Linked DNA regions of Caenorhabditis elegans. The protein of the gene in region 2 purifies or fractionates together with the protein of the main gene of each other region. This does not show direct contact. Each region holds a gene or a part of one and is shown on either strand. Other genes may lie near its edges.

Region 1 (6,399 bases), on a different chromosome or scaffold from region 2:
CCAATCAAATGTGACGATGATACCCGTCTAACAGAAGAAGATGAAGACATTGAAAACGAGGCAATGAACAATGCCACCTTCGTCAAAGATTCGTTCAATTCTGCCACTATTGTGTTGGACGATTCGCAACCGTCTCCTTCCAACTCAACATTCGTGATCGGTGCAGCTCCAACGTCGGAAGCAGACGGTGTTCCTCCCATCAAGCGAAAGAGTCGTCGAACGGATCTTGGACCGCTCTAAATTCCAAGTTTTGTGTGTGAAAAATATTTAACACACCAATGCCTCCTCCTGTCAACTAATGATTAATTAACTTTTACTGTGAATAATAGTATTCGGGTACTAAATTGTGTCGTTTGACCCCCCATTCTGTCTTAAATAGATGATTTTAAATTAAGTAAACCTATTAGGCATTTTTCTTATCCATTTTTTCTCAAAATGCTTCAATAAAATTGAAAGTTTACACACTTTAATGTCTTCGTTTGGTTTTGCGTACAGCTTTTAGAACGTTCAGTAATTTATTGGGGAAATAAATTGAAAAATTAATTATCACAATAGAAGAAGACTACAATATATCGGAATGCAAATAGATTTATAAACATTTTTTGATTCTTATTCAAGACAAAAATTTTTATTTTCTTGGAATCAGTCCAAATTGCTGTGGTCTCAAAAGTGTAGCGACGACATCCTTCTCGAGTTGATCCATCTCAGAAATCACACTTTCCAGATCATTCTGCGTTTTTCCCGGAGCAGTGATGAGTTCAATATAGTACTTGATTTTTGGCTCAGTACCAGATGCTCGGAGAGTAGTGACACTTCCAGTTTTAAGGAAGAAAGTCACCATTTCCGAGGAAGTCGAGAGTGGAAGAACGGGCTTATTGTCGGGCTTTGAGTTGTCGTATCCGATCGTCAAGTCTCTCACGGATGCCACTTCGGCTTCTCCGATTTTCGTCGGGAACTTCAGATCGGCTCTCAATGTGCTGAAGAGCTTCTTGGTGACCTCCGGAGCCGGTACCATCCAATAAGTGGATCTGACCAAATGGAAGCCATATCGATTGTAGAGAGCGTACAGCTGGTCTTGCAACGATTTTCCCTCCGCGTGAAGGAAAGCGGCGATTTCGGCGAAAACTGCGGCAGCGGACACGCCGTCCTTGTCCATGGTATGCCCTGGCATGTATCCGATCGATTCTTCCCACGCCAGAATGACCTGATTTCCATCGGCACGGAGCTCCTCGGCTCGATTTCCCATCCATTTGAATCCGGTCAGGGTGGTCTCGTTTTTGAAGCCTGAATTTTATAGTTTTTTTTTGTTAATTGTAATTTTAATATTTTATATTCTAAACAGGGCTGCTGCTTTTTTTTTGGCAAAAATTACTTAAAATTCTTCAAAAATGTTGATTTTTAGTCGGTAGAACGAAAAAAATTCGAATTTTTTTTTCAACTAAAATCGAAAAACGAAAGTTTTTCTTTCGATTCTCGATTTTTAAAAAAAGTTTTAAAAGAAAATTGTAGGTTTCTTTATGTAGTTTTTCATCAAAATTTACAAAACTTGGATAAAAATTCGAATATTATTGTTAATTTTCTGATTTTTAAAAAATATAATTAGATTTTCCGGAAAATCGAAAATTTTCGTTTTTCAATGTTTTTCAAAAAAAAAACTCGGCTTCTTTTTCGTATTTATCAAAATCTTGCAAGATTGTTTTTAAAAATTAGGAAAAAACTAAAACCATGCGGCGAAATTGCGAAATGGCGTGCCGCGGACACGCAATTCCGCGGTACGCGGTTTTGCAACATTGCCGCACGGTTTAATTTCAGCATTTTTTTGAAAAAATTGTATCTTTTTCATCAAAAAGCAAATTTTTCTCTTTCGAAATTAAATTTCACCTTCTGCATCAGCAATTGTCTTGACAATTTGTGAGGACACAGCACTATTCAGAATGTATACTTTTGATGCATCAGCATTCGGATTCGCTTTTCTCCAGTTTGTCCAAATCCACCAAGTGATGAGAGCGCCCATCTCATTACCAGTGAACACACGCCATTCGCCGCTGAAAATTGAATTTTTTTGAAAATAAAATTTTTTAAAATATATATTTTGGAAATTCAAAAAACTTACTCTTTCTGCTTCTCGGCCATTTGAATTCTGTCGGCGTCTGGATCGTTGGCTAAAATAACTGTCGATCCATTTTTATCGGCAGTTTCCATCGCCAGCGTGAGCACTTTTCGTCCTTCTTCTGGATTTGGGAATGGAATTGTTGGAAAATCTGGGTTTGGATCTTGTTGCTCGGCCACCGAAATGAACGATGAAGCTGGGAATCCAAATTCGGCGAACATTCGTTTTGTGTAGTGATAGCCGATTCCATGGAACGCGGAATACGTGAATTTCAGCGGAGTTGAGCCATTGATTTCTCTGAAAATATTATTGGATTTACCTTTTTTTAAACGATTTTTTAAAATTTCTACAAACCTAGTGAAGTTCAACGATTTCTCAACTTCAAAATACGGGTCAATTACAACATCAGCTGAATGGAAAAGTGGCGAAGATTTGAGTTCACTCAAGTCCCAGTACTCATCTCTCGGCTGTGGCTCGGCCTCTTTGATTCTAACAATTTCCGTGTCATGTGGTCCAATGATCTGCAAAAAAAACCTTTTCTTTTTTAATCTTAAAAAGAATTAAATCTTAAATATTGATCTATTTACCTGAGCTCCATTGCTCCAGTACGCCTTATATCCATTGTCTTCCTTTGGATTATGTGATGCAGTAATAATAAGTCCAGCATCACATCCCAGCTTAATCGTTGCCCACGAGACAACAGGAGTTGGAGAGACTTCAGAGAAAAGATAAACTGGAATATTGTTACGAACAAAGACGTTCGCCGAGAGCTCTGCGAAACGTCGACTGTTGTAACGTCCATCAAATCCGATGGCGACTCCGTTCTTCGGTTGTCCATAGACGTTCAGCATGTGTCGAGCGAATCCGTGCGTGATTTGGATGATTGTAAGATCGTTGAGGCGTCCAAATCCAGCTTGCATTGGAGAACGGACACCTGGAAAAAATACGTTTATATTTTGAGCTGTACTTTTGAATCTCTACTGTTCTCCTGTTAATATCACCCAGCTTCTTCAGAGTGTAGACAGTGGAGAGACGCAGAGATGTGGGGACCGTGTGATACGGGAACACAAATCTTTGAGAATGCGCATTGCGCAAAATATCTCGTAGCGAAAACTACAGTAATTCTTTAAACTAGTGTAGCGCTTGTGTAGATTTATGGGCTCACTTGGTGTCTGGCTGTCCCAATATAGCTTGATCTACAAAAAATGCGGGAATTTTTTACCAGAAAAATGTGGCGCCAGCACGCTCTTAACCATGCGAATTCGGCTAAGAACTCTGCGTCTCTTCTCCCGCATTTTTTGTAGATCAAAGCGAAATGGGACTTTCTGACTCCACGTGTGGGCTCGGTTTTCGAGAATAAATGTTTTTCGAATAGCGACAGATACAGATTGTTTCGAAAATTGACTACAGTAGCCATTAAAAGAATTATTGTAGCTTTCGCTATGAGATATTTTGCGCGTCAAATAAGTTGCGCAATATGCATTCCCGTAATAATGAAGATTCACACTCTGTAAATCTACACAATTTCGGGTCTTCCTCCCTTTGTCCCAATATAGCTGCGTTTCTTCCACCGTTTACACACTGCAGCTGTGTAATATTATTTTCTTCTCACCAGCAGTTCCAAAAACCAATCGAGTATCCATACGAGCTTTCAATGCATCAACGTTCTTCTCATCAACCAGCTTTTGAATTTCATTACGATTCTTATCATTCTTATCCCAAGCGAGCCAATCGGCAACTTGCTTGTCAAGCTTTGCACATCCAAGAGTCATTCTGAAAATTAGAAAGTGCTTAAATTTTGCAATAAAATTGTGGAAAAGACAACAAAAGTTTTAAAAAATCGAAATTTTGCAGATAAGGACACTAATACCACAATTATTCCGACATGTGTGGATGAGAAAAGGCCAGGTAAATGACCTTGCCGTTTCTCTATTTCTCTGCGAGTAACCCACTATCCCTAGATTTGGAAAAGAGATAAAATCAACAATAATTGATGGAGGTATTGTGGAAACTGTGAAAAAGACAGTATCGGGTTTCAGTAAATATTTAATTTTCGAATTTAGGTGAATGTTGAATGCAAAAAGAATTAACAAAAACGTCCAAAAAATATTTCTAGGCACAAAAACCGTTGAAAATTACATAAGTTAGATAAGTGGAATGTTTAATTCTTGCAGAAACCGATCAGCATGAAAAATCTGAAAATTAAACAGAAGATTGATAAAATACTTAAACATCAAAAAAAAATCGGTGATAATGTTCTCGGTTTTCAGTTTTCAGATGATGATAACAAATAATAATACACGCTTTGATAAGAAATCATTCGGAAAAAAAATGATCGGCGAGAAAAAATAGAGAAAAATATCGTTAGAAATAGGTTTTCTCGAGTTGTGATGGAAGACGTTCGGTAGTTTTCGATGAGATGAAGGCGCGAACTTCTTCAGGCGATGGAACGTAGTCGTCGACATTCATCTCACTCAGCTTTACCCATTGGTTCACGAAGAGTGCTGAAAATCAATTTTATTTCATTTTTGACTCTTTTTGATTTTTTCCCAACATTTCCAGGATCTCAGTGTTCCATCCAAGCTCGTCGACGAGATGACTGATCCCATGAGATTATATCGAAGCCTCCATGCTTTTCGATGATCCCCGAGCAGTGCCACCTTGATCAGATTGTAATCCGCCAGCTGAATCGGATTCTCGACACCGTCTTCTTCGAGAATCGCCGAACGAGCCACTTTGATGTTGTAGACGTGAACATCGCCTGATGCAACGGCTAATTGATGCGAATCCACCATCGATATCGGCGAGAATCTGAACATTTTAAATATTATAGTTAAAATAGCGGAAATTTTTTTTTGAAATTTTCAGACAAAAAATTGATAAAATAGCGGATTTTTCAAGAAAATTCGATTTTTTTTGAAATTTTTAGACAAAAATTATTAAAATAGCGAATTTTTCAAGAAAATTCCAATAATTTTTGGAATTTTCAGACAAAAAATTGATAAAACTGCGGACTTTTCCAGAAAATTCAATTTTTTTTGTTGGAATTTTTAGACAAAAAATTGTTAAAATAGCGGATTTTTCAAGAAAATTTTAAATATTTTTTGAATTTTGTTAAAATAGCGGAATTTTCAGAACATTTCAATTATTTTTAAAATTTTCAGGCAAAAAATTGATAAAATTGCGGATTTTTCAAGAAAATACGATTGTTTTTGAAATTTTTAGACACAAATCCGATAAATATCGGATTTTAGAAAATTCGATTATTTTTTGGAATTTCTAGACAAAAAATTATTCAAAGAGCGGATTTTTTAATACTGAAAAATCTGCTATTTTCAATGGAAAGGCAAGCGCGCTGTAATAATTATTCGGCTCCGAGGAGAGCGTGTTCTTCCTACTTCAAATCAGTAATCGGGCATGGTAGATCGAAGACTAATGAGTTGATTCGCTGCCATTTCCTCAATCCATCAATATTCTCATAGATCACAACTCGTTTCTTGTTCTCTGCCTTCTTCTCATCCGAACCAACAGCAATCAACGGGCGGTGCATACGAGAAAGTGACCATGTGACACATCCACATCGGGTATGAAACGCTTGAAGCTCGTGAATAAGATTCCATCGAGAAGCGTCCACAATATCCGGTGCTTCGTAGATTCTGACGGTTCCGAGAACGTTGCATGATGCCATCATGAGACCCAGATGGCGCGGGGAGAAGCAGATATCGGTGACGTCTGAACGATTATCGGAGATGATTGTTCTTCGGATCCATTGGGATTCTTTTTGCTCTGAGAGATACATAATGTTTTGGATTATATTTAGAGCGAATTATACTCACTCAGATCTTTCTCTGATCTCACAATTTGCTCCTCCCAAATTACAATCGTTCTGTCGTAGGAGCAGGTGCTGAAAATCAATCAATAAAGTATATTCGGGTGACAGTTTCTAGTTTCTTACGCAACAATCTGCCCAAATTCCGGATGAGCCCAAATAACGCGCCAAACTGCTCCACCATGACACTGAAATGAGGAAAATTATTTTATTTTCTGAAATTTCTTTTCTACCTTCCAGTGTGCAGATCTACGCCAATTTCCGTCTGGCTTTCGATCCCAAATCGCCATTGTCATATCGCTGGCACATGTTGCCATTCGTCGGCCATGAGGATCGAATGAAACCTGGAAATAAAAATCTTCAGTTTTTATCTAATTTTTCGAAATCAAGCCAACATACACAATGAATGAGATCTCTGTGAGCGCCGACGGTCTGAAAAGGTTTCACCGAGTCGTCTTCT
Region 2 (4,692 bases):
CTTTTATTCCCGACAAAACCCTCCGTTTTGTTCCAATATTTGCCCATTATTTATTCATACACCCGTTTTGCACCCATTTTTGTGTATTCCGCTCGCGTCTTTTGTTTTTCTCTCTATCTCTCTCTCTCTCTCTAAATGTGTCACATTTTTGTGTGTTGCCCATCTTCTCCTTCTACGTTCGTTTTTTGTCTCTTGCCGCTCGCTGACCATAAACGCATTTTCTCTCTTCTTTTCGGTGTGTTTTCGGTGTAACTATGCTGAAAATATAATTTATTTTTGAAGTTTTAGCTTCTTAGGACTCAATATCTTTAAATTGGTTTAGAATGTTTTGTGATGACGTTGTCACAACCGAAAAATTTAATTAACAAGAATTATTGTTGTTGGAATTATTTTAACTTTCTAAAAATTCAGTTTTAATTGTTTTTGCCCATAAAACGCTGTTGAAAATTTTTTGCCAAATTAGAAAATTGCCAAAAATTGAAATTCTCCTCTAATTGCCCAACTCCCAAAATAAAACTTATCCCAAATTGGCAACTTGTCAAAATTTATACCTCATGCCAAATTGGCAGATGGCCAAAAATTAAAATTCTCGCCAAATTGGCGAATTGCCAAAAATTCAAATTCTTGCCTAATTGGCAAAGTGCAAAAAAAAGGAAATTCTTATCAACTTGGCACAATGCCAAAAATGGAAAGTCCGTCAATTTGGTAATATGGCAAAAATTCTAGATTCCACCAAATTGGCAGATTGCCAAAAAATGAAAATCCTAGCCAAATTGGCAATTTCAAATAATGAATAATTGCCAATTTGCCAGAAAAAAGAAATTCTTGCCAAAAATTACATTTCCGCCAATCCGGCAAAATGGCGAAAATTAAAATTCTTGACAAATTTGCAGATTGCAAAAAAAAGCTTACCTAATTGCCAAATTGGCACTATGCCAAAAAGGAAATTATTGCCAATTTGCCAAAAACTACATTTTTTGCCAATTTGGTAATATGATCAAAATATAAAACTCTTGCCAAATTGGCAAATTTTTTGGCAATTTGCCAATTTGGCGAGAATTTAAATTTTTTTTGCAATTTGCCAATTTGGCGAGAATTTCCTTTTTTGGCAAATTGGCAAGAATTTCCTTTTTTTTGGCAATTTGCCAATTTGGCGAGAATTTAAAATTTTTTTGCAATTTGCCAATTTGGCGAGAATTTCCTTTTTTGGCAAATTGGCAAGAATTTCCTTTTTTTTGGCAATTTGCCAATTTGGCGAGAATTTAACATTTTTTGCCAATTTGCCAATTTGGAAAAAATTTCCTTTTTTGGCAATTTGTCAGTTTGGCAAGAATTTTCATTTTGGTAAATTGGCAAGAATTTCCTTTTTTTGGCAATAATTTTCATTTTTCCCAATTTGGCATGAATTTTCTATATTTTTTTTGTAGTTTGCAAATTCGGCAAAAATTTCAATATTGACAATTTGCCAGTTTTACATGAACTTAAATTCCTGCCAAGTCGACAAAATGCCAAAAATACAACATTTTTTCCCGTTTTTCAAACTTTCCCCATCTAGATACTTTACTCCCATCTACCCCATTGTGTGTGTGTTCTCTGACGTCGACTGACCATAACTGATAACCGCCATTTTGACCTCAACGACGTTTCCTGTTCTTCGTTTTTTCCTCCTCCACCCCCGGCCAGTCAAAACTTGCTATCTAGCCTCCACCATCAGCAGCATCAGCCCATAAATATCGTGTTGTTCATGCAGTCTTTTTGTGGTGACTCTTCCTAATACCATAATCGATATATTTATATCGACGCTGTAAATCTTTGTTTTCACCTTATCTCGGCAAGATCGATGAATATAGTCATTGTCTACGTGACTTTTACAATCTATAATTGACCTGGAAAGGGGCGGGGTAGCGTCTGAGATTACGTCACTTTGCGTGACATTAGAGGGTATATAAGAACAATTATTTTGCGTTTTTTAAAGATTTTTCTTTTATTTTTTTTTAGTTTAAAACTGTATATTCTCTTTTCAAATTACTATTCCAAAACTATACTCCCAATTTCCAGAATGAGCGCCCCAATCAACAAAGTCCTCATCGCCGACGACATCGAGCAGGAGTGTGTCGACATTCTGAAGCAGAACGGAATCGAGGTGACCGTGAAGACGAAGCAGACGAAGGACGAGCTTCTCGTCACCTTGCCACAGCACGACGCCGTCATTGTTCGCAGCGCCACGAAGATCACCGCCGAGCTGTTGGCTGCATCAGCTGGGAAGCTGAAGCTTGTTGGAAGAGCCGGGACTGGAGTTGACAATATCGATGTGCCAGCCGCATCGGCGAACAAGATTCTCGTGATGAATACACCACGTGAGTTGGGAGGGTTATTTGACGAATGGGGTTTAGGTTTGAAAGTTCTAAAGTCACATGGCTGGGGAATTCCCCAAACGCACGTGTCTCATTTCGGTTTGATCTACGTAGATCTACAAAAAATGAGGAAGAAGTGACGCAGAGTTCTCAACTGATTTCGCTTTGGGCAAAAAATTCCCGCATTTTTTGTAGATCAAACCGTAATGGGACAGCCTGACACTACGTGTAAACGCATGACTTCAAAAACAGGCCGACCTAGGCGAAGGACGGGCCTATTCTAAAAAATGGATGGCTTTAACAGAATTTTTCAACAGAACTTTACCGGTTTATATTTCAAATTTTATTTTTCCAGAAGCCAACTCCCGTTCTGCCGCCGAGCTCACGTGCACACTCATTCTCTCCCTCTCCCGCCACGTTCCACAAGCCGCCGCATCGATGAAGGCCGGCAAATGGGCCCGCAAGGATTTCATGGGAGAGGAGGTCTACGGACGCACCCTAGCCGTTCTCGGCCTCGGACGAATTGGATCTGAGGTGGCCGTCAGGCTTCAGGCCTTTGGAATGAAGGTTATTGGATTTGATCCAATGGTCACGAAGGAGCAGGCTGAGGCGAAGAACATTGAGCTGCTCTCGTTGGAGCAGATTTGGCCACAGGCCGATTATATTACGGTCCACGTACCGCTGATCAAGCAGACTGAGAATTTGATCAATAAAGAGAGTAAGTTAAGCATTTTTAAAAGTATTTTATTTAATCCAAAATTTATTTATCTAATCATTTTCCAGCCCTCGCGAAATGCAAAAAAGGAGTCCGTATCATCAACGTGGCGCGTGGAGGAATTGTGAACGAGGTCGACCTGGTGGAATCCCTGAACGCTGGACACGCCAAGGGAGCAGCATTCGACGTGTTTGAGCAAGAACCACCAACGTTCAGAGAGCTCATCGATCATCCACTCGTCATTGCGACACCACATCTCGGAGCATCAACGATTGACGCGCAGCTCCGTGTCGCATCGGAAATCGCCGATAACATTGTGCAGTACAATAAGGGAACTATGCTCGGAGTTTTGAACGCACGAGAGGTGCTCAACTAATTTATTTGTGTGTTTATTTGAATTTTCGCCCATATTTTCTGTTTATACGAGATCATTTTACATTTTTACAATACATTTTTTGTGAGTTTAAGTCGTTTTCGCATACAACCATTTTTTTTCAGTTTTATTCATAAAAATACATAAGAAAATCGATAAAAAACCAACAAAAAAAAAATTATCCTCCTCGAGACCACCACCATTCTGAAATAAAAAGAGTCTAGTAAATTTCAGGTGTTACTGGAAAATTACCAAAAAAGTACGGAATCAGATTAGTAGAGGCATGCAATTAGAAGAAGTGAGAACATTGACAGGAGTGATAGGTGTGCGGATGGTGACGTTGTTGCTAGAACATACAAGTTATATTATGCAGACTACAAACTACAAACTATAACTACAAACTATAATTGCAACGTAAGTACTAATGTAAATGCATTGCAAAGCATTATTCAAACATTACGCTAGAATACAACAATTACTACAATTCAACTAGCACATGCTTTTTTGATAGGATATACAGTTATGCTACAAACTACACATACTACAAACTACACTACAAATACTATAAACTACAATCTCGAGGCTACAAACTACAATACCAACTACCAATGCATGGTAGTATTAAAAAAAAAAGTCAAATGCGTAAAACTGCAATTTATATACTACGTACAATGTATATACTATAGTTTGCAAATTTTTAAAGCTAGAAACTACATAATGCATACTATAAACTACAAACTACAAACTAGAACTAAAAGTGATGCAACATTCGTTGCAAGCCCAGTAAAATATACGCATGCATCTCAAAAATATGGTTCACTTACTTCCTGGCGTAGTTGTTGTCACTGTTGGAGCAGCCGGAGCAGCCGTTGATGGTGCTATAACAGTATAAACCACAAACTACAATATATCAACTACAAGCTATAAAATTTCTAATGTATTTCAATGGACGAGTCAATTCATTATTCAAAAATTAAGCTGAAACTGCAATTCAAGTAGCACATATTTATGTGATAGAAGATATACAGCTATGTTACAAACTACACTAAAAATACTACAAACTACAATATAGAAACTACAAACTACAATACCAATTTTATAAACTGAATACATGCATAGTAGTATCTATAAAAGTCGATTGCGTATAATTGATATACTATGATATACTATGTACACACTACAGTTTGCAAATATACAATTTAAAGCTACGAACTACATTATGCATACTATAAACTATAAACTACAAACTA

Evidence for each region.
Region 1: the proteins of phdh-1 (region 2) and pgm-2 fractionate together in Caenorhabditis elegans (co-fractionation; one large-scale study listed by BioGRID). This does not show direct contact.

Annotation. Positions count from the first base shown.
Region 1 is NC_003281.10:13,296,862-13,303,260, reverse strand, and holds pgm-2 (Phosphoglucomutase-2), read right to left. Parts: upstream 3,884-6,399; 5' UTR 3,883-3,883; coding exon 3,723-3,882; intron 3,045-3,722; coding exon 2,698-3,044; intron 2,632-2,697; coding exon 2,465-2,631; intron 2,408-2,464; coding exon 2,114-2,407; intron 2,046-2,113; coding exon 1,882-2,045; intron 1,285-1,881; coding exon 629-1,284; 3' UTR 501-628; downstream 1-500. Other genes in the region: Kinesin-like protein klp-19, read left to right, coding at 1-240; npp-18 (Nucleoporin SEH1), read right to left, coding at 4,475-4,614, 4,665-4,921, 5,509-5,896, 5,947-6,014, 6,066-6,127, 6,173-6,283, 6,339-6,399.
Region 2 is NC_003280.10:13,635,847-13,640,538, reverse strand, and holds phdh-1 (D-3-phosphoglycerate dehydrogenase), read left to right. Parts: upstream 1-2,058; 5' UTR 2,059-2,059; coding exon 2,060-2,357; intron 2,358-2,709; coding exon 2,710-3,072; intron 3,073-3,137; coding exon 3,138-3,445; 3' UTR 3,446-3,620; coding exon of another isoform or gene 3,621-3,646; 3' UTR 3,647-3,670; downstream 3,671-4,692. Other genes in the region: tag-10 (Protein TolB), read right to left, coding at 3,715-3,788, 4,267-4,320.